Linked DNA regions of Arabidopsis thaliana. The protein of the gene in region 3 interacts with the protein of the main gene of each other region in a pairwise test. Each region holds a gene or a part of one and is shown on either strand. Other genes may lie near its edges.

The links.
Region 1: the proteins of LHY (region 3) and AT2G37000 interact in a two-hybrid assay, tested with the Arabidopsis thaliana proteins (one study listed by BioGRID).
Region 2: the proteins of LHY (region 3) and AT5G64170 interact in a protein complementation assay, tested with the Arabidopsis thaliana proteins (one study listed by BioGRID).
Region 4: the proteins of LHY (region 3) and FHY3 interact in a two-hybrid assay, tested with the Arabidopsis thaliana proteins (one study listed by BioGRID).

Annotation. Positions count from the first base shown.
Region 1 is NC_003071.7:15,538,621-15,541,789, forward strand, and holds AT2G37000 (TCP family transcription factor), read left to right. Parts: upstream 1-1,625; 5' UTR 1,626-1,769; coding exon 1,770-2,336; 3' UTR 2,337-2,628; downstream 2,629-3,169. Other genes in the region: SIGF (RNApolymerase sigma-subunit F), read right to left, coding at 1-68, 149-404, 499-684, 777-874, 981-1,135, 1,309-1,396; NAP12 (non-intrinsic ABC protein 12), read left to right, coding at 3,100-3,169.
Region 2 is NC_003076.8:25,671,929-25,678,790, reverse strand, and holds AT5G64170 (dentin sialophosphoprotein-like protein), read left to right. Parts: upstream 1-1,967; 5' UTR 1,968-2,239; intron 2,240-2,750; 5' UTR 2,751-2,856; coding exon 2,857-2,880; intron 2,881-3,219; coding exon 3,220-3,752; intron 3,753-3,866; coding exon 3,867-4,176; intron 4,177-4,442; coding exon 4,443-5,054; intron 5,055-5,214; coding exon 5,215-5,348; intron 5,349-5,568; coding exon 5,569-5,704; intron 5,705-5,785; coding exon 5,786-5,887; 3' UTR 5,888-5,980; exon of another isoform or gene 5,981-6,072; 3' UTR 6,073-6,325; downstream 6,326-6,862. Other genes in the region: AT5G64180 (tropomyosin), read right to left, coding at 587-729, 853-1,009, 1,452-1,628; AT5G64160 (plant/protein), read right to left, coding at 6,473-6,686, 6,773-6,862. UniProt on the Arabidopsis thaliana protein: Transcriptional coactivator necessary for expression of the clock genes PRR5 and TOC1. Antagonizes REV8 function in the regulation of anthocyanin accumulation. Involved in red light input to the clock. Activates clock-controlled genes with afternoon peak.
Region 3 is NC_003070.9:32,871-39,450, reverse strand, and holds LHY (Homeodomain-like superfamily protein), read left to right. Parts: upstream 1-1,693; 5' UTR 1,694-1,882; exon of another isoform or gene 1,883-2,052; 5' UTR 2,053-2,078; exon of another isoform or gene 2,079-2,247; 5' UTR 2,248-2,389; coding exon 2,390-2,428; intron 2,429-2,529; coding exon 2,530-2,641; intron 2,642-2,765; coding exon 2,766-2,827; intron 2,828-3,279; coding exon of another isoform or gene 3,280-3,361; intron 3,362-3,451; coding exon of another isoform or gene 3,452-3,487; coding exon 3,488-3,721; intron 3,722-3,803; coding exon 3,804-3,884; intron 3,885-3,976; coding exon 3,977-5,050; intron 5,051-5,123; coding exon 5,124-5,459; 3' UTR 5,460-5,470; exon of another isoform or gene 5,471-5,789; intron 5,790-5,861; 3' UTR 5,862-6,072; downstream 6,073-6,580. Other genes in the region: UMAMIT28 (nodulin MtN21 /EamA-like transporter family protein), read left to right, coding at 1-42, 164-315, 397-553. UniProt on the Arabidopsis thaliana protein: Transcription factor involved in the circadian clock. Binds to the promoter region of APRR1/TOC1 and TCP21/CHE to repress their transcription. Represses both CCA1 and itself.
Region 4 is NC_003074.8:7,821,467-7,828,160, reverse strand, and holds FHY3 (far-red elongated hypocotyls 3), read left to right. Parts: upstream 1-1,964; 5' UTR 1,965-2,381; intron 2,382-2,705; 5' UTR 2,706-2,746; coding exon 2,747-4,900; intron 4,901-5,004; coding exon 5,005-5,061; intron 5,062-5,145; coding exon 5,146-5,214; intron 5,215-5,288; coding exon 5,289-5,357; intron 5,358-5,453; coding exon 5,454-5,522; intron 5,523-5,615; coding exon 5,616-5,660; intron 5,661-5,745; coding exon 5,746-5,802; 3' UTR 5,803-6,164; downstream 6,165-6,694. Other genes in the region: AT3G22180 (DHHC-type zinc finger family protein), read right to left, coding at 168-548, 696-809, 927-971.

The DNA.
Region 1 (3,169 bases), on a different chromosome or scaffold from region 3:
CCTATTGTTGGTTCGCAGCCGTTTTGAGATTCAAGTTTAGTCTTTACCTTCTCCAACTTTAATAAATGCTGATAGATCAAAGATTATGGAAGTTAGCACCAGGGACAAGAAGGAAGTCCAAGGACACATGAATAAGGAAAGCATGAACCTGTATATGTGATATCAGCTCAGCTTCTTCTTTAGCAGTCAGAAGTTGTTTTGTCTCAGGTCCCCACAAGAAGAGCTGAAGCGCATCATCATTATCAGCCCCTTGTTTATACTTTTTCTTCGCACTAGTTTTCTGAGGAACATAACCCTCATCGTCCACATCGTTTGATTTTGGAGCCCGTCTGTTCTTTGCTCGTCTCTCTAGCTGCCGCTTCGATCTTACTATGTTTCCCTTTTCCGGTAAGGACATAGAAGAGCTAAAACCAAACATCCAGAAATACAAATCTTTTCACATTACAGCCCACAAGTAGCAGATTGATAAGATACACAAACAAGGTTAAAAAAAGCAACCTAGTGGAGAGAGAATCCTTGATGTTGTCAGATGGATTTGCTTCAGTGTCATCAACTAACAATGCAGCTTGTTTTGAAGCTGATAAAGCCTTCTGAGCTAGTGCAACCACATCACAAAGCTCTGCATCAGCTAAAGGAGACACAACTGCCGGCAATTTCGTTTCAGATGTTAAAGGAGATATTAATCTGCAAACAAAAGAAAGGCTACATCATTCAGAAAACTCAAAAGGTTGTATGAAAACTGAAACTGGTGGGTTTAAGAGAGGAAGAGACATTACAAATTCCATAAACCAGTAGAGTGAAGAAGTTGCTGTTCAAATTTCTCATCTTCTCGAGATGAAACCAATTCATCAAACTGCCTCCTCTCCAGAGTCAACTAAAAATGCAAGGAACCCAATCGCATTAAACAAGAGGACTAGAAAGTTGACAACTTTATGATTGATTCAATCTCTTAGGACAATATTGCTGCTAATAAAACACACCTGGGATGTTCTATCGTCTCTTAACGCATGTGACAGAGGCCTAGACTCTTCCCGTGGCTCCTGTGAGAGAACCGACGCAGGAAAATGTCGAGATAGAGAATTGAGATGACGTGAGTTAACAACAGGAGTTGTTGTTTGATCATGAAGCATCACTACTACAGAAATACCAACAAACGAACAAAAACAAATCAGAAAATGCTAACACAAACTCGTATACATACACTAATTTCAAATTGAAATCCATGAACTTCAAATTCCAGTAACTAACAGAGACAAATCCAGCAAAGACACAATATTTCTATATGAAGAGTAGCTGAATAAGAAGTACCAGAGGAAGGAGAAGAGTAGCTGCTCTTGAGATGAGTCTTTGTCTGAAACGAAGGAGATGAAGAAACCAAGTTCCTCGTAGCTTCCATTTCACAGAATCACCAAAGAATAAAAGACTCTGTTTTTGCTTCCACGAATGGCTAAGGAAGAAGAAGAATAAGAACATGAGGCTACTCTACAGAGCCATGACGAACAGATAAGGCGACACACACACTCCCAATTTTTTTTTTGTAAAAATTAAAACTTGTTTGTTGCCATGGAAGTCAGATTTTGTTCTCTCTCCCTTTTTTTTTTTCCTACAGAGTGGATCATGTTGGGCCTTATATTGGGCTTAAAAGCCCAAATTATCCAAAAGTTAATTCGAATCATCTTCTTCTCCCTCCTTTAGTAACCCTAAGATTCTCTCTGTGAATCCTTGTTCATCGTCACTGAAATTAGTTTACAAAATCGACGAATTCGGAGATGATTTTTCAGAATGTGTGCAGAAATGAGTCCAACTTCAACGCTATAGCTTCCGAATCGCGTTCCCAAACGCAGTTCGGTGTTTCGAAATCCTCCTCGAGCGGCGGCGGATGTATCTCCGCCAGGACTAAAGACCGTCACACGAAGGTTAACGGACGAAGCCGTCGAGTTACGATGCCGGCTCTCGCCGCCGCTAGGATTTTCCAGTTAACGCGTGAGCTCGGTCACAAAACTGAAGGAGAAACCATCGAATGGCTTCTTAGTCAAGCTGAACCGTCGATTATTGCCGCCACTGGCTACGGGACTAAGCTCATTTCGAATTGGGTTGATGTTGCGGCGGACGATTCCTCGTCGTCGTCGTCGATGACGTCGCCGCAAACGCAAACGCAAACGCCACAATCGCCGAGTTGTAGGTTGGATCTTTGTCAGCCAATCGGAATTCAGTATCCGGTGAATGGTTACAGTCATATGCCGTTCACAGCGATGCTTTTAGAGCCGATGACCACGACGGCGGAATCTGAGGTTGAGATCGCGGAGGAGGAGGAACGTAGACGCCGTCACCATTAGTAAAATTAGGCTTTTGATTTAGAGTGTTAAAATTAGGATTTTAAAAGTTTAGGAGGTAACAGATAAGGATAATTTAGTCAAATCATGTTGTTTAGTTTGGTAATGTTATTTTGCCACTAAACAACTAATAATATTGTTTGATAATCTTATTATTTGGTTTTGGAAACAAATTGATTAAAAAATAATGCCATATGTTTATAATGTTTATATTGTTTTTCTCACTATTGATTTGTGATTTTTTAGTAATGCTTGAAATCATTAAGCAACACTATTTAAATAAACAAAAATTTCTCATGAAATCCAAAGAATCATCATTTGTCATGCTCCTCCAATATAGTTATTTCTATTTTTGGAAATAAGTTATAATTAAGAAACCAATCATTTTTCTCACCCATTTTTTTTTTCATTTGCTAGAAATCTGGACCTCCTTCCATGATGACCCTTCTCAACTCTCTTCTTTCACGCAAGTCTCTCATTTTTCAACTTTCCAACTTTTGATCTCAACGTCAACATTTCAAGATTTTCTAAAAGAGAACAAAAAAAATCTACAACAAGCTCGTTAGCTTTCTTTTAATCCTTCATCTCCATTTTTCAAGAATATACTCATTGGTTTTCTCAAGACATGATAGAAAAACACAAGACATCTCTACGGATATTTCTATTGGTAGCTTCCAATGTATCTATTCTATTGTTAGGTCAGAGGGTTCAGATATTTCGATTCGGAAGGTTCTGATTTTAAGGCAAGACTTTTGATATAAGAACAATGAGAGTTAGGGTTGATGTTTGTTGGACACAACACATCTTCTTGTTCTTTGTTTTTGGCTTGAGTTTTA
Region 2 (6,862 bases), on a different chromosome or scaffold from region 3:
AAAAATAAAAATTATATGCTTGTATATACTATAACAAAGCAAACAAAAATAAAGCAATCAGAAATAGTCAAAACTTCCTTCATTGGTATTTTATCAAAATTAGATATTGTACACTAGTTTCTACCAAAAAATTAGATAATATAGAGAGACACCCCACACGCTAAAAACCATGAAGCATCACTTTTTTGAAAAAAGTTTTTTCTAAATTGGTCATAATCCTCTTTTGTTTCTTTTATTCTCTTTTTGTGAAATTGCATCTTCAGCTGTCAAATTTACGTAGTTTCTTGCTCCACACGGCTGGAGTCCTGGAGATGCCGCGTTACTGAATCTGGATGGCATCGCAGCACTATCGGCGGCAAACGTGTGAAAACCACACACACACACCTATAAAACCCATTTTTAGTATCGATCGATTCACATTAGGCCCATTTATAGGGTCAGGCCCATGTAACATTCATTTCTTGAAAGAACAGGCAAGATTCTAAAACGTACCAAATAGACAGACAAAAATACATTTATCTTCGAAGTGATACATCTCCACAAACTCAGGAGTACAAACCTTTACAAGTGAAAAAACGCATCATCATCATCCATTCACGTCGCTTTTTCCCAACCGCTCTTTGCCGCCGAGCGTTTGGATTATAGCTTCTAAGAGTTTGATCTCGTTATCGCGTTTGGATATCTGTTCTTGCATTCCTCGAAGCTCTTCCATATGCAGCTTGAAAACCTCTGAAACCAAGAGTTGTATAAGTCAGTGAGTGAGAGTGAATATGAAACTGGAACGCAGATAAACGTGCGGGAGAGAATGGTGCCACCAGGCATCAACTCAAGAAGTGATTATCAAGTGCATACTTGTGGTGTTTTCAAGCTCTTTTGTGACATCTTGGGCACGTGATTCAGCAGCCTTTTGAGAGGACTCAGCTTGGCGTTTCTCAGACCGAGCATGAGCAGCAGCTGTAATGGCAGCATCTAGTTCTCTTTCTAGTGTTTGTACTCTTTGCTCAAGAACCTAAAACAAACCATTGAACAGAGTTAAGAGACAATCTGAAACTATCCCTTATCTCAAACATGTAACACAGTCCTTTTTTACTTACAACATGAAGAATTTCTACTTAATACACATAATTGCACTTGGGAGTTTTCATAGTGAAACCTCAAGTCCAGTCTTCAAGGATTTGGTGATCATTTGTACCATTAACAGATCACAAAATCGAAGATTCAAAATTTATGATCAACTACAAGTTCCCAAATTCACCGTCAAATGCAATTCCAGAATCACACTATTACACTGAGCTATAGTAGTACTAAAGCAAACTAAAAAGTGCGATCGTGATCAACTAGATCGAATCCACAAATCACAGAAGCAATCATCAAAGTCAAAGAAAAGAAGCTCAAAATTCAGACAATTAAGCTCTATAATTTCAAATTTTATCACAGGAAAAAGGATTAACCTTGATTGTTCGGGCTTGCTCGGAGACGAGAGAAGCTCTAGAGAAAGTGTCTTCTTCAACGAAGACTGCTTTCTTGAGGAGAAGTTTCTGAAGCGAATCGAGATTCGATGCCATCTCCGTTATATTCTCCAATGATCCTTTCCATCTCTCATCGCTCCCGCCGAATTGCTCCTCCATCGGAAAAAGATCAAAGGATCTCTCCCGGCGCCGGCAAATAAAAAAACTACTCGACTCGCAGATCGATCGGAAAAACAACTAAAGATTCTTTGGGCTTTCTTCGGCCCATATAACTATTGTTTTTTTTAACCGCATGGTAATTTGTTATACGTAAATAAAGGCTGATGTCATCATTACGATGTAAGCCAATAAGAAGATGAGGCGTGCCCAGTTTCGAGAAGGTACTAATGACGTGTACCAATAATAAAACTGGAACTGATAGGATCTCACACTGCTCTCTCGTCCACGAATTCTGATATTAAAAACCCAAGCCTGTTAAACCTTTTGATTTAGTTGCCACGTGTTGATATCATGGTCACTTGTCTTTTGATTCTCCCGAAACAAAAACAATAGTTTAATTAAAATTTAAAATGTTTGTCAAAAAAAAAAAAATAGGAAGCCTTCATCGTCTTCTGCCGAACATCTCTAGAAAGTCCTACACAGTTTTTTTTTTCGATCTAGCTTCGATGAATTGATACAATCTCTTCTATCTGCTGAGTTTTTTGTTTTCTGGTAAACAATTTTATCTGTGGAGTTTTCTGGAGTTGCTAGTGGAAGAATCTGTCTCACAGGTGAGCTTATTTCGTTCGGCTTTGATGGAATCTATTTCGATTGAATTTAATTAGAAAATTTGGTTCTTATCCTCAGTGTTTCCATAGCAGCGGTAGCTGAGGATTTCTCAGATTTGATTGTTTTTTTTTTTGTTGCAGTTAGTTTCATTGAATGCCTCATTTCACTGGATTTTAGTTGTTTTTGTAAACTCTCGGTTTAATAATGATAGTTTAACTCGATTTTGCTAGAAATTACGAGCATAAAATGGTTGAATCCTACTATCTGATTTTTCTCCTACTTTGTTTTTGTGCTACTTGCTATGAGATTTGACTTTTTGGCTGTAGAATTTGAGTCTAATTTCTGGAATTCATGAATAGTTGAAAGAATGGGTTAACTCTTAGGGTTTGGATTACATGTATTTCGGGTTTCATGGGATTTGATTCTGGATAAGAAAAGTCAAGTTTTCTTATATGCTGGGTTCGATTTCTCTATTATTGGAAGCTGTTTAATATATTTATATTTCCTATCCAGAACCAGAAATAGTGTTTGTGGGAGTTACATGTTTTGCAATAGAGATGACATATCGGGGTAATGTGCATGATTTTAGTGGTGATTAAAGAGTCTGAAGTTGGGAGGAATGTCGGACTTGTACATTCATGAGGTGAGTGGAGTCACAATCATATATGTGTGTGTATCTTTTTTCTATGAGACTATGGATTTAGATCTTTCGTTGTTGCTCTTGTCGTATGTTCCCGGAAAATGAACTGTTGTGAAATTTCCTTTTTTTATTGGGTTCAAAATCGTTTAAAATATAGGACAGTTCTTGCATCTCATATTTTACTTCTTGTTATCGCTACCACTTGGATGTGTTCTGTGCAGGATTGGGGATACTTTGTTAGTCTACTCGGTTTGATGTTTCCCTAGTCATTTTTTTCTTTGACTTGGTAATGTGGATTTCTAATTGGTGGCTGAAGTTTTCTTTCCTTTCTTTTCCTTTCAGCTAGGCGATTATCTTTCGGATGAATTTCATGGGAACGATGATGGTATAGTGCCAGACTCAGCGTATGAGGATGGAGGTCAGTTTCCAATTCTAGTTAGTAACAGGAAGAAACGAAGAAATGATGATATGGGTAGTGGAACAAACCATCTAAAGAGTAATACTTTTATCAAGAGAGAGGCAAACATGTTAGGAAAAAATCCATGGCCTGAGAAAGATAGTGGTGGCTCTTCGGTTTCTCGTGATACGGGAACAGGAAAAGATGTTCAGGATATGACATTGGAGGATACAAATACTTCAGATCATGGTTTCAATGGTGGCCACGTAGATGTGGTTGAAAATTTCTCCACTGGGGATCCCATGTTGTGTGACACTTCCGCTGCAACGAATGATGGCGTATATAATTATTCCCTCAACAGCATTCCGGATGCTGAAAATGATCTTAGCTTTTTCGACAATGGAGATAAAGAAAAAAATGATCTCTTCTATGGCTGGGGTGACATAGGAAATTTTGAGGATGTGGACAACATGCTTAGGTAACATTTTAGATATTCTCTTTTCTATATATTCTTATCACATTGGGGATCATTGCTTATGGGAGAAACATGGTAACATTTGTCTGAGCCTACACTCGTTTATTGGACGCACAGGAGTTGTGATTCAACATTCGGCTTGGATAGTCTTAATAATGAAGGTGACTTAGGGTGGTTCTCTTCTGCCCAGCCAAATGAGGAGACAGCAGGCGCGATGACAGATGATCTCAAACCAGACAAAATGTTGGAAAATCAAAGAACCGCTATGTTGCAGGTTGAAGACTTTTTGAACAACAGTGAGCCCAACCATGCTGTTGAAGATGAGTATGGATATACTATTGAGGACGATTCAGCTCAAGGAAAATCATCACAAAATGTATTCGATACAAGTTTGCAAAAGAAGGATATATTGATGCTGGATGTAGAGGTTAGTCAATTTCTTATTTCAGAATTGTTTGCGCCTTCCAAGGCACATGCAACCATTAACTACATGGGATGTTACCTTCTATGATGACTTATTTAGTTGCACGTTTTCCTCAGTTAAATCCTCTAACTATGATATGACGCTTTTTACAATGGTGGTTTATGGTTTCGTTAAGGGCAAGTGGATATTCTATTAGATAAGTATTTGTACTGTTGAAATCTTGACACTATTCCAGCAATTTCATATCAGTACAAATTTTTGTTATACAGGCAAATCTTGAGAAGAAGCAGACTGATCATCTTCATCATCTGGATGGGAAAAGTGATGGGTTCTCGGAGAACAGTTTTACTTTACAGCACAGTGGTATTTCAAGGGAAATAATGGATACCAACCAGTATTACCCTCCCTCCGCATTCCAACAGCGAGATGTGCCATACTCGCATTTCAATTGTGAGCAGCCTTCCGTTCAAGTATCAGCATGTGAAAGTAAATCTGGTATTAAATCTGAGAACAAACCCAGTCCTTCCTCTGCTTCAAATGAGTCATACACATCAAATCATGCACAATCAATCGAGAGCTTACAAGGTCCAACTGTTGATGATCGGTTTAGGAAGGTCTTTGAAACGAGAGCCAACTTGCTGCCTGGGCAAGATATGCCTCCTTCTTTTGCTGCAAATACCAAGAAGAGTAGTAAGACAGACTCCATGGTGTTTCCTGATGCTGCTCCTATCCAGAAGATTGGGCTTGAGAATGACCACAGAAAAGCTGCAACTGAATTGGAAACATCAAATATGCAGGGAAGTTCTTGTGTTAGCTCTGTTGTGGATGACATTTCACTGGAAGCAACAAGTTTTCGCCAGCTTCAACAAGTTATAGAACAGGTACAACTTGTCAATAGATAATTGTTGATATAAGGAAAAGGCTTCCTGGGAATCGGTAAAAGTTTGCTGTTCCTTTGTGATTGATATCAAAGTGTATATATGTTAATAAATTTACATATACATTTGCTTACTTGGTTGATAATACACTTGCTTGCTCCAGTTGGATGTTAGGACAAAGCTTTGCATAAGAGACAGCTTATACCGATTAGCAAAAAGTGCGGAACAGAGACATCATGGTGGAAACAGACCGGAGAAAGGCGCAGGCTCGCATCTCGTGACTGGTGAAGCAGACAAGTAAGCACCACATCCTACATAATTATTCAATATGTTCACCCTTTATCACCTGTTGCTAAGTAAAGTTCTTGATGCCAACTTATAACTTTATATAGGATTAGACTCGAGTCTTGACAGATTTAGTAACTCTCTTCTTTAGAAACTTCCACTTGGGCTCTTGTACTCGTCCTTCATTTCTCTTAGATTCTAATCTTTGATATCTGTATGTGGTCTCATCCAGGTATGCTGGATTCATGGATATCGAAACTGATACAAACCCGATAGATCGATCGATAGCTCATTTGCTGTTTCACAGGCCCTCAGACTCATCTCTTTCATCCGATAACAATGTTCTGTCTTATAAATCTCATCCAATGGTAAGTTAAACCTTCGATTCTTACACCGCCATTTAATGTGCAAAACACAGTGCCTCATTTTACCCATCACTATCTACACAGATTCCTCAGCCCAATAGTAGTCCGAGCCTGAGGATAGAGAAACAAGAGGAAACTACAGAACTTAGACCCGAAGCAGAAGTTGTAACAAGTGACAACAATTAATGATGTCAAATAAAACTGGCTCTTTCATTGCTGAAGCATTCGAGATATTGTTGTTAACACTAATCTCGATTTTGGCTAAGCGAAATTGCTCAGGTTAGTTACTAAAATCCTGACTGCTTCTTCATTAGAATCATGGATTTTGTAACACAGTTGTATTTATGTGTTGAGATAACTTTCTGGTCTAGATTTCGGTTCGAACCTGATTGTACACCTGGTTGCTCGAACCTGATTGTACACCTGGTTGCTCGAACCAGGTCTTTAAGATATGTTCTTTACCTTTGTAATCTGTTCAAGTTGTTAAGTAGAGGAAGAAGTAGAGACATAGCAATTCTGTAGATAAAGATGTTAGTTCGTTTTGTAATGCGATAAAATATTCTGCTGTGTATTTACTCTCTTTTTTTCAAAATAGCGAATTTTAGGGTTTTATTTTCCAATAAATATTTGATGATCTCATAAATATATATATTTCAATAATGATGAAATTAGACATTCCGAAGCAAATTATAAGATTAACCTTTGTGTCACAAGCTACGTTACAGAAATTGGATTTGGATGGTACAAATGTAGTAAAAGGTAAAAGAAACACTAATCGAAAGTTTGCCTAAGCTGCATCTCGGTTTCACTTTTCCAAGAAGCGTGAGAAGATTGTCCTCTCATTCTTTTGCTCTTCTCTTTATCTTTGATCGTAGAGCCTTTCTTCTTCGCGTCTACGTCCGGTAATGGCCGGTCACCACAAATCGGGCATACCATTCCTCTTGCGCTTGTATATGTTTTCGGTACACCGCATTGCACACACATCCTAAACTCATCATAGAAATCCTAATCAAGCTCACATTGTGCAAATTTATACTAAAGAATGAAGAAGAGGGCAAGGGTTATTCATACCTCAAGAGATCTGCAGATTCTTCTGCATTAGGATTGGTTGCAGTAGATATCCGCTTTTCACCACTCTCTGAAGATGGGGGTGCATCAATA
Region 3 (6,580 bases):
ATCATAGATGATAGATTCGTTATCACCGTCATCATATACGCTGTAAGTTACAAACATCATATCTTTATAAATTAACTTTTTAAAAATTATAAGATTAGTATGTAAGAACTTAAGATATTAATGTGGGTTTTTTTATGTGGTTTTTTTTTATCATATATTATAGGGAGTGGTAGGACAAGCAATGACGACGGTTGCAACAACATGGGGGATTAAAAAATTAGGAGCTGTGTTCGCATCGGCGTTTTTCCCACTTACTCTCATTTCGGCTACTCTATTTGATTTCCTCATTTTACACACTCCTTTATACCTTGGAAGGTATCTTCTTCGATAATCTCTATCAAATTAATTTTGTCTAGGCATAACACTAATTACAACATTAAAACTTTTGGTCTACAGTGTGATTGGATCACTAGTGACCATAACGGGTCTCTACATGTTCTTGTGGGGGAAGAACAAAGAAACGGAATCATCAACTGCATTGTCTTCAGGAATGGATAACGAAGCTCAATATACTACTCCTAATAAGGATAACGACTCTAAGTCGCCCGTTTAATTTAATTATATTGTTGTTAATGTATGTTTCAAATAACTGTTATGTCCTAGTTAATGTTTAAGGAGAGGTAATGAGAGATAAAATTTTATAATTCCAAACATCAACGTAGAGATTTGTGAAATATTTAAATCCGGTTTGTTTGGTTATTTTGGAATAATTTCGGTTATTTCAATTAGATTCGGGTAGTTCAGTTCTTCGGTTAGTAACAAAAACTGGTCTATTGTTTTTTGGTTAACCTAGAACCGAACCGAACTAACCAAAGTTCTCGGTAACCTTTTGTAGTGGCTTCCTGACCGATGAGGCCGTCAACTTCAAAAAATATTGCAACTAAGCTCTGCTCCAACATTAGAGTATCTATAACTATGTTAAACGCTTCTGCTTTAAGCAAAACACAGTTGTAAGCTGGAATCTAAAAAAATGAGTGTAATGATGTTTGCTGAATTCCATAAATAAATACTACATGCTTCGGTTAAGACTTAAGAGTAATTAATGTTCCTTAATTTCTACAAATGTTATATAAGCAAGTTGACCAAAGTTCTCGATGATAATTTGTTGAAATTTTGTATAGGCATTGCATGATATTATATGAAAAGATGAAGATTTTTATACAGACGCAAGTTCCCCGAGCAGTCCAAGCTTGTCGGGTTTAATTCAACTATGTTAATACGCAAATTTATATAGAATAGGCGTAAAAGTGAGGCCCATACAATGTCTTATTACAAGCCCAGATCCAGCATAGCCAATACGTAGCAGTACACCATCACAGCTGGCACCGTACCCACTTGTTTAGTCGTCCAAGTTTGTACCAATAATCGTTTACACGTAAGCAATTGTGGACCACCACACTCACTTTTACCTACGTGAGCTTCACATTGAAGCTTCTGGCTCGTAGAGAAGCAACTTGAGATATACCAAAAAGTGCAGTAGACAGCCACTACAATATCACCACGTGTCGATCTGCGATGACTTCTGTTTTTTCCATTTATACCCTTGGTGCTGTTCCAGCCTCAAATAAACTTTTCAATTAAAATTTTTCCAAAAATTAGGGGAAAAATTGTTGTGGCTGAGATTGCTTCTGGCTTCTCTTCTTCTTCTTCCAGTCTTCTTCAGCCTAAAACAGTCTTCCTTCTTCTTCTTCTTCTTCTTCTTCTTCTTCTTCTTCAGTTATCTTCTTCCTTCTTCTCTCTGTTTTTTAAATTTATTTTTAGAGATTTTTTTTTGTTTTGCTTCCGATTTGATTATTTCCGGGAACGATGACTTCTCCGGGGAGTTCCCGGTGAGATGATAAGTCAGATTGCATACTTGTCTCCTCCATGGCTACTCTCAAGGGTATAACAGTTTACATTATGAGCAGTTTCTAGGATTCCTATAACATACTAAGATCTCTGTTTGGCTGCTGAGAAACTTATAGAAGCGATTAACTAAATCTTATTAGCTCTAAAAGTTAGCATAAATGATACGAATCTGGTGATTGATTACTGATATGAAGATTTGTGAAGGTTTTGGCTGCGGTGGATTCGTTTGGGTGAGGCTTTTGTGAATAATAATAAAGGGAATTCTTTTGAGTTCTGCTGGAGAAGCAGCGACTGTTTCACGGTGGACTTTGAAAAGATTTCTCTTTTGAATTTCGCTCATCACTCTTATCTTAGTGTTTGTGGATAAATATTTCTCATAAAGTACTTTCTCCTTTGCAGTTTCTCTAGAATCTAAAGAGGTTATCACAACGGCTTTGCAATTTGAAAACTTTCATGTTTGGGGAGATCAAAGATGGTTTCTTTTTTATACTTTACTTGTTAGAGAGGATTTGAAGCAGCGAATAGCTGCACCGGTCCTGTTATGGATACTAATACATCTGGAGAAGAATTATTAGCTAAGGTACTACTACTAATGAAATAAGATTGGTGTTTTTTTGTTTGAGAGATTTGGACTGTTGTTGTGTGAAGATTTGATTTTCTTTTGGGTTTTCAAATGTTTAGGCAAGAAAGCCATATACAATAACAAAGCAGCGAGAGCGATGGACTGAGGATGAGCATGAGAGGTTTCTAGAAGCCTTGAGGCTTTATGGAAGAGCTTGGCAACGAATTGAAGGTCGAAAGTTTATCTTTTGAATGTTTAGTTTGAACTCTTTGAGATTTTATATTCCTTTGTTTAGGAGTGTCTTTATCTCCTCTTGATTGGGAGATTCCTTCTTTTCTTTTCATTTTGTGTGCAGAACATATTGGGACAAAGACTGCTGTTCAGATCAGAAGTCATGCACAAAAGTTCTTCACAAAGGTAAGTTGATGATCCTTTCAGATCTTTTTAAAACACTTTCGTTATCTTGTGTAAAGGTACCATTTTTTCATATCGATCTATGACTATGTTTAGAAGTTGCCTGTCACTGTCTGGAAAAGATGATAGAAGGTTCTTCTTATTCTTCCTTTTCTCTAATTGCTTCAACTAGAAATTAGGCGTCTAAGTAGAGTGTGTTTTGCTAAGTAGAGTTGGTTGGTTCCGAGGATTGCATCTCGATCGTTTTTTATCTTTTTCATTTACTCTGTTCAACTAAACTTAACATTAGATTGGTCTGTCCAAACTTACTGTTAGAAAAAACTCTACAGAGAGCTTTCTTCTCTGAGACCATAAGATAGGTCCAAATTAACATAACTAGCGTTGCATTTGGATGACACAATTGTCCCATATTCACTAAAGTCGATGAAATAATGGGATTGCATGAATTCTTTTAGCCATCCATATGGAAACCAAACCTCCTTGCCCTATAGGACAGGACATGAAGTAACTCTATCATCTCTACCCCGAAAAATTCGGGTCAGTATAAGACTTTTTTCAACCTTGGTGATGTGGTCAATTTCATGAATCTCAGGATTTCACATCTGAGCTGCATTTTTCCATCTCCAGTTTGGAAAAGCTCACAGTTTTTGGTTCACATTTCAGTTGGAGAAAGAGGCTGAAGTTAAAGGCATCCCTGTTTGCCAAGCTTTGGACATAGAAATTCCGCCTCCTCGTCCTAAACGAAAACCCAATACTCCTTATCCTCGAAAGCCTGGGAACAACGGTACATCTTCCTCTCAAGTATCATCAGCAAAAGATGCAAAACTTGTTTCATCGGCCTCTTCTTCACAGTTGAATCAGGCGTTCTTGGATTTGGAAAAAATGCCGTTCTCTGAGGTTTATTCCTGATCTTTCTCTTCTTCATTTTATCATTTTGGTGGTCTTGTGATAGACTTCTTATGTTTTATTTTCTGGTTAGAAAACATCAACTGGAAAAGAAAATCAAGATGAGAATTGCTCGGGTGTTTCTACTGTGAACAAGTATCCCTTACCAACGAAAGTAAGTCTAAGAAAGCTACAAAATTGTAGTCGAAGAATCTGATGAATGCTTTCAAGTGCATGACAAATTATTTGTTCCATTCTGATTTTTAGCAGGTAAGTGGCGACATTGAAACAAGTAAGACCTCAACTGTGGACAACGCGGTTCAAGATGTTCCCAAGAAGAACAAAGACAAAGATGGTAACGATGGTACTACTGTGCACAGCATGCAAAACTACCCTTGGCATTTCCACGCAGATATTGTGAACGGGAATATAGCAAAATGCCCTCAAAATCATCCCTCAGGTATGGTATCTCAAGACTTCATGTTTCATCCTATGAGAGAAGAAACTCACGGGCACGCAAATCTTCAAGCTACAACAGCATCTGCTACTACTACAGCTTCTCATCAAGCGTTTCCAGCTTGTCATTCACAGGATGATTACCGTTCGTTTCTCCAGATATCATCTACTTTCTCCAATCTTATTATGTCAACTCTCCTACAGAATCCTGCAGCTCATGCTGCAGCTACATTCGCTGCTTCGGTCTGGCCTTATGCGAGTGTCGGGAATTCTGGTGATTCATCAACCCCAATGAGCTCTTCTCCTCCAAGTATAACTGCCATTGCCGCTGCTACAGTAGCTGCTGCAACTGCTTGGTGGGCTTCTCATGGACTTCTTCCTGTATGCGCTCCAGCTCCAATAACATGTGTTCCATTCTCAACTGTTGCAGTTCCAACTCCAGCAATGACTGAAATGGATACCGTTGAAAATACTCAACCGTTTGAGAAACAAAACACAGCTCTGCAAGATCAAAACTTGGCTTCGAAATCTCCAGCTTCATCATCTGATGATTCAGATGAGACTGGAGTAACCAAGCTAAATGCCGACTCAAAAACCAATGATGATAAAATTGAGGAGGTTGTTGTTACTGCCGCTGTGCATGACTCAAACACTGCCCAGAAGAAAAATCTTGTGGACCGCTCATCCTGTGGCTCAAATACACCTTCAGGGAGTGACGCAGAAACTGATGCATTAGATAAAATGGAGAAAGATAAAGAGGATGTGAAGGAGACAGATGAGAATCAGCCAGATGTTATTGAGTTAAATAACCGTAAGATTAAAATGAGAGACAACAACAGCAACAACAATGCAACTACTGATTCGTGGAAGGAAGTCTCCGAAGAGGTAAAACAAAAACCAATGATTCATGGATATTGCAGAGTTCTTCTGGGAACTAACACTATCAAAATATTTTCAGGGTCGTATAGCGTTTCAGGCTCTCTTTGCAAGAGAAAGATTGCCTCAAAGCTTTTCGCCTCCTCAAGTGGCAGAGAATGTGAATAGAAAACAAAGTGACACGTCAATGCCATTGGCTCCTAATTTCAAAAGCCAGGATTCTTGTGCTGCAGACCAAGAAGGAGTAGTAATGATCGGTGTTGGAACATGCAAGAGTCTTAAAACGAGACAGACAGGATTTAAGCCATACAAGAGATGTTCAATGGAAGTGAAAGAGAGCCAAGTTGGGAACATAAACAATCAAAGTGATGAAAAAGTCTGCAAAAGGCTTCGATTGGAAGGAGAAGCTTCTACATGACAGACTTGGAGGTAAAAAAAAAACATCCACATTTTTATCAATATCTTTAAATCTAGTGTTAGTAGTTTGCTTCTCCAATCTTTATGAAAGAGACTTTTAATTTTCCTTCCGAACATTTCTTTGGTCATGTCAGGTTCTGTACCATATTACCCCATGTCTTGTCTCTTGTCTCTGTTTGTGTATGCTACTTGTGGTCTATATGTCATCTGCTACTACTGTTAATTAACCATTAAGCAATGGATTTGTCTTTATTCTTCTTTTTAAAAATTGTGGATATTGATTGATGAGATCATAAATAGTTTATAATGATAAAAGATGAACTGTACAAAAGTTACAACTTAGAAAGTTTTGTCTTTTGGTGTTTCTTCATAATGATTCTCTCTGTTTGTTTCAAACTTGAAGGCGCTCGTTGCCCAACGCCAAATGCCCAAAGGTGCTAGGCTGGGCCTTAAAGATTTTACTCACACTACTTGGGCCTACATTACAACATTTTCCCTATTACAAGCTTAAGTAATAGAGGCCTAAAGAAGGCTTATATTGTGTAGCTAGTTTATACAATATTTCAATCTCTTAATTTGGTTTACTGATGAATGAGTAGATATACAATTTTTTTGTTCTCACTGAATGAGCCATATCCTTGCTACCAAACCAAATTATTTGTGAAAAATGTAATGCAAGTATCCTACATAGATTATAGGAGTGACCGCAAAAACACAAACTATGTTTCGTAATAAAAAATAAAGTATTTTTAAAAAGATGTAAATCTTTGTAAATAATTGAGTGGTAGTGTAGTGAGTGTTACGATAATATAAAAGTTTGATCCGTATATCTCGGTGGTGACTCATATATACATTTTACAATCACTTGCTAGACCAACGGGCTTCACTTGTTTCTCTCCCAAAGTTTCTTCATCATCCTTGCGATAAAGAAAACAACAATCGGCTGTTTCGTTTCGATCCAAAGGTACGTTTTTTTTTCTTTTGTCATCGTTCTAAGATCATCAAAGTTTGATGCTTTTCCATGTTTAATCTTCTGGGTATTTTGTTGCTTCAAATCTCAATCATCCATCGAGTCTATAGAGAAAAAGTGAACAGATTTGGTATACATCTTTTCAGTAATCG
Region 4 (6,694 bases), on a different chromosome or scaffold from region 3:
CCAAATTGCTTTCCCTAAAGACTTCTTAAAGCAGATTCTAGAAGATAAAGACCAAGAAATTTTAGTTATTATTAACTGCTCATACATCATTTACTTTTCATATTAAAGACCATACACATGACAAATATAACCATGGAGACTTGATGTAGAATTCTGAAGCTTAGTACCTCACAATTGCACAATGTGCAAAACAGAGCCTCTTCGCTGTTTCCTTGTTCTTCCGCCGGCCCTTCCTTTTTCCGGCAGTCTTCCACAACAAACACATAACAGAAAACTGCCAGAGGATTATAGCAAGATCTTCTACTTACAGATTCCACTCTTTGAGCATCTTCTACAGAACCTTTCACACTAGAGTTTCCAGCCACGGTAGAACTCCTACTGACAACCGAAGGAGAAGCCTGCAACTGACTACCAGTTTCATCATAATTCCTTGATAAGCCACGAACCATGCCATCTCCATTCACGCCTGTATCAAATATCGACATGATTCTCGGATCCGCAGGATTGATTGCAGTACACCGAACATACAAAACAAACACAAGAATAGCCTGCAAAAACACACACGATACATAAAGGAACCTATCAGATAAGATCAATGCCATAAACTACACAGCTGTGGAATCCAAAACTCGTTATGAATTTGCAAAATTGATTCTGATCATAAACACTACTAGCTTGAGAAGCATTAAACATACCACGGGAGAGTAAACACCGATCAAAACGTATTCCCAAATACGACCTCCAACAAAAGGAGCGAAGAAAGCATAGAAAGCGACCACCAACAAGCAAAACACCGTAATTGCAATCACCTGAGAAGAAAAATACACAGAACCCAATTGAAATCACAGCCATTGGTGACTTTAGATTGAGCAGATTCATGAAAAATTGAAGCTTTGGCTATAGAGAAAGGTTACATTCGATTTTACCTGAAGAGTGTGAGCGGGAAGTTGCCAACCGTGTTTCCTCACCATACCTTCTTCTCCAACAACAATAAGCAAAGATAAACAAACTCTAATTTTCCGACAACGTCACCGTCACGTTGCCGTTCGCCACCGCCGGAGCGATTAAGTGAAGAGTGTTGTTGCTCGTTGAAAAGGGAAAGGGACTGAGAAAATATCGTCTCTCTCTGTTACTGTGGCAGGTTTAGTCTTAATTAAGTCCAAATGGTTGACCCAACTTTTACATTAGTGGATAATTAATTATAAATAATTTTGGTATTATAAATAATTTTGGCATAATTATAATTAAATTTCAGGATATTGGCTGGCTTTTTGTCAAAAAATATATGCTGTATTAAATTAAATCATGTCGGAAATAGTAAATTACCAACTGGCTATTGGCTATTGATTATGATATTTTATGAAATTTATTTTGAATTCATAAAATATTTCCAAAAATGGTATTTATTTTATTGTAGCTAATATGTAAAAAAAAGTTAGGAAATAATTTTTTTTTTACCAAACTTTTTAACATTAGTGGGACTAATTATAACTATGGTTTTTAAGACTGAGCTAATCTATATGTACAAAATTAAAAAGAACAGTGACTCATGCTAATGAGTGGCTATTGATTTATTTATTTTTTTGGACGGCTATTGATCTTTTTATTTTGGATCAAATATAATAAATTAATCCAATTCTGAAATAGTCATACCAATTGGCTCTTGGCTATTGAAAGTTGGTAAAAGCATTTACTAATATATATATATATATATAGTCCAAATTCAAAACTGATAGTTTGTAAATAACAAAAAAATATTTTGAATAGTTTACTATGATTTTTTTTTGTAATTCACCGTAATGTTTCAGTTTTCACCATAGTAAATACTTAGAAATACAAAATAAAATAATTCAAACAAGTCTTAGTCTTAGAGTGGACCAAACAAATTTTAAAAGCCTAAACAAGTCTACTCTTATAGATGTAAGTAAATCTCATCATTCCCATTATTCACGCTTCCCTCCAATTTTTGTTTTGGCATGCGCGTTGCACAAAATTTCAAACAAAAACAGTTTTTTTTTTTCTTTCTAATTTTATTTTATTAATAACATAAATAAATGGATAGAGATATTATTATTATCAAAAAACATGGTGATGCGTTTAGACAGAGAGAAGAAGAAGAAGAAACCCTAGACACCAAAAGAACGAATCGTGGATCTTCCGCCCACTCGCTTCCTCAGATCGCGTGAACACCACTCACCAATTTTTCTTCTCTTTCTCTCTTCTTCTTCTCTATCTCCTTTTCGCAGATCGATACCCCAACTCGCACCCGATTGGCGCGTGTTGTCTTCTTCTTCTTCCTCCTCTCGACGACGAAGAGATTAAAAAGAGACGGCCTTTTCTCAGTTTCTGCTCCGATTCGTATATCTTCTGTTTCGTACGAGGTAAAGTTTTCATTTTTATTTTTTGTTTTTGTTTTATAGTGATAACCAACACAAATGATTGGGTTATACAGTAGTTTTGATCAGCTTCGTTTTAGGAATTGGATTTGAGGATTTCGTTTATGTGATGAAATACCCACTAAGAATTTAGCTGCAAGTTGCTTTTTTCTGCAATTGTAAGGGCAAAATGTGTATACTTTCTCGATTTATCATCATAGAAAGATTGAATTTTGATGGGTTTCTCTGGTTTGTTACATCTTTTGTGTGTGACTTTAGTATACATTTTGACCTAGATATATGTACTGAGACCTAGATTTTGTCTTGCAGTGTTGTAAGACGTTTGTTTTGCCTGAGACTATAGGTTTGTCATGGATATAGATCTTCGACTACATTCAGGTGACCTTTGCAAAGGAGATGATGAGGATAGAGGACTTGATAATGTGTTACACAATGAAGAAGATATGGATATTGGCAAAATTGAGGATGTTTCTGTTGAGGTTAATACTGATGACAGTGTAGGCATGGGTGTTCCAACTGGGGAGTTGGTTGAGTACACTGAGGGTATGAATCTTGAACCTCTTAATGGTATGGAGTTTGAGTCACACGGTGAAGCGTATTCGTTTTACCAGGAGTATTCTCGAGCTATGGGGTTTAACACTGCGATACAGAACAGTCGTAGATCGAAAACTACAAGAGAGTTTATTGATGCGAAGTTTGCTTGCTCTAGGTATGGTACTAAAAGAGAATATGACAAATCTTTTAATCGGCCACGAGCTAGACAAAGTAAGCAAGATCCAGAGAATATGGCTGGTAGGAGAACATGTGCGAAAACCGATTGCAAAGCTAGTATGCATGTTAAGAGAAGGCCGGATGGGAAATGGGTAATTCACAGCTTTGTGAGGGAGCATAATCATGAGCTTTTACCTGCACAAGCTGTGAGTGAACAGACCAGAAAGATATATGCTGCAATGGCTAAGCAGTTTGCTGAGTACAAAACTGTTATAAGTCTAAAAAGCGATTCGAAAAGTTCTTTTGAAAAAGGTCGGACTTTATCAGTGGAAACAGGGGATTTCAAAATCCTGCTTGACTTCTTGTCACGGATGCAATCCTTGAATTCCAACTTCTTTTATGCAGTAGATCTGGGCGATGATCAGCGAGTGAAGAATGTATTTTGGGTAGATGCAAAGAGCAGGCATAACTATGGCAGTTTTTGTGATGTTGTTTCTCTAGACACCACCTACGTAAGAAACAAGTACAAGATGCCACTTGCTATTTTTGTTGGAGTGAACCAGCACTACCAGTATATGGTCCTTGGGTGCGCCTTAATATCCGATGAGAGTGCAGCAACATATTCTTGGTTAATGGAGACCTGGCTGAGAGCAATCGGTGGACAAGCTCCAAAGGTTTTGATCACTGAGCTAGACGTTGTAATGAACTCCATTGTTCCCGAAATCTTCCCCAATACACGGCATTGCCTTTTTCTTTGGCATGTATTGATGAAGGTTTCTGAGAATCTTGGTCAAGTTGTTAAGCAACATGATAATTTTATGCCTAAGTTTGAGAAGTGCATCTATAAATCAGGGAAAGATGAAGACTTTGCGAGAAAATGGTATAAGAATCTTGCTAGATTCGGCCTCAAAGATGATCAATGGATGATTTCTTTATATGAAGACCGCAAGAAATGGGCACCAACCTACATGACTGATGTTCTTTTGGCTGGGATGTCTACATCTCAACGAGCTGATAGTATTAATGCTTTCTTCGACAAGTATATGCATAAGAAGACTAGTGTACAAGAATTTGTAAAGGTATATGATACAGTTTTGCAAGATAGATGTGAAGAAGAAGCCAAAGCTGATTCTGAAATGTGGAACAAGCAGCCAGCAATGAAGTCTCCATCGCCATTTGAGAAGAGTGTTTCTGAAGTCTATACTCCTGCAGTTTTCAAAAAGTTCCAGATTGAAGTTTTGGGTGCGATTGCGTGTAGTCCTAGGGAGGAGAACCGAGATGCCACATGTTCTACTTTTAGAGTGCAGGATTTTGAAAACAACCAAGACTTCATGGTAACATGGAACCAAACAAAGGCTGAAGTCTCTTGCATCTGTCGGTTATTTGAGTATAAAGGGTATCTCTGCAGACACACTCTTAATGTTCTTCAGTGTTGTCATCTTTCTTCCATCCCCTCGCAGTACATATTGAAGCGGTGGACAAAAGATGCAAAAAGCCGGCATTTTTCAGGAGAACCTCAGCAGTTGCAGACTAGGCTGCTGCGGTATAACGATTTGTGCGAACGAGCATTAAAGCTGAATGAAGAGGCATCCCTCTCTCAAGAGAGTTACAATATTGCATTCCTTGCTATTGAAGGAGCTATAGGAAACTGTGCTGGTATTAATACTTCCGGCAGAAGTCTTCCAGATGTTGTAACGTCACCAACTCAAGGTCTGATTTCTGTGGAGGAGGACAACCATAGCAGAAGTGCAGGCAAAACCAGCAAGAAAAAGAATCCAACTAAGAAAAGAAAAGTAACTTACTTGTTTACGATCTCTCTGTGCAGACAGCTTATGGATTTTGTTCGCTTTGCGCTTTTATGCTTTGCAAATTTGATGATACCAAATACTAATTTCAGGTGAACCCAGAGCAGGATGTTATGCCAGTTGCAGCGCCAGAAAGCTTGCAACAGATGGTCTGTCTTTGTTGACATGTCGTGGCAAGCCTCTTTTAAACACAAGTCGCCTAAGTATGTCATATCTGAATTTTGTAATTGCAGGATAAGCTGAGCCCAAGGACGGTTGGCATTGAAAGCTATTATGGAACACAGCAGAGCGTACAAGGAATGGTAATTAAGCACAACATACGTTCATATTATTATCTAGATACGTATGTAATCTGTTTTGATATGTGTTTTTACAGGTCCAGCTGAACTTAATGGGGCCAACTCGCGATAATTTCTATGGGAATCAACAAACAATGCAAGGATTGGTATGAAATCGACCATGACATGTGTATAAGTAGCTTCTGCTGTTTTCTATTTCATTAACTTTGGATAAAAAAACAATTCCGGCTGGTTTTCTGTAGCGACAGTTGAACTCGATAGCACCAAGCTACGACAGTTACTACGGTCCTCAGCAAGGCATCCATGGACAGGTACCTACATACCTATTCTCAATGCTTTCATAAGTTTTGTCAATCTTGTAACAAGACTGCCAAAAAAGTAAAATCTTACTTTGTTCTTTCTAGGGAGTAGATTTCTTCAGGCCTGCCAATTTTTCTTACGACATCCGGGTAACTATTGCAGTTGTAATAAAAGATCTTTCTTTTTCCTGTTTGTATCAATTGGTCATCTTAGTTCATGGTGATTTCTGTGCAGGATGATCCTAATGTGAGGACTACGCAGTTGCATGAGGACGCGTCTAGACACTCGTAAACAAAACTATAAGTTAACCACGAATCAAATCTTAAGAGTCGTCAGTCTGTGGATGAAAGATTCAAATCTCGGAGAACAAAAGCCAACGAGCACTAGGACGCGGTTAGGTTTGGAACAGAACATGAGCCAAAGCTCTGTTTTATCTTCTCAAGTGTTAAAAATAGGATGTTGTATTGTTTCGCCTTTATTCTCAGAGATTCGATTCTGTTAATATTGTTTGTATTAGTTCTGATGATCATATGTTTGATCATTTGACTGTTCGATTTAAGAGGTGAAGAAACAGTGTTACAAGAATATTCTCTATTTGTAAACTCTTGTTAATTCTCTTGATTAGGTTTCTCAAATTTGTATCTTGTGATTAATCTTGCCCAAATTACAAACAAAATTGTGGTATGCTATTGGCGGTTTGAATCTTGTTGAAGAGAGGAGAGAGGGTTACATAGTATAAATATAAAATTCTTTAAAATCAGAGAAGGATCATAAATTTATTATTATTATTTTTGAGTAATCATAAACAATTTTTCTCTTCTTTTGGCAAATAGAGCTTTTAGGCAAATTATTAAAATGTGGCCTAACATTCTATTTTGTATAGAAGAAATTATTTAAATACTGTTATTAAAAAAAACATTAATGAATAAATACGATTTAGTAATTTAATGTAAAAAAACAAACAAAAATTTCTATAAATGTTAAAGAGATGAATTTTGTTTTCAAAATAAAGTCCTAAAACACATTAAAAATGTGATATATGTAGAAAAAAAATGTGGCGTTTTATTTGATTATTTTTTAGTGGCCTAAGGAAAATGCTTTTTTTCTTACATATCAAGCAAGACTCTCTTGCAATTGAGACTCATTTTTCGTTTATTGTTCCAAAAAAATTCTGGTCACATGT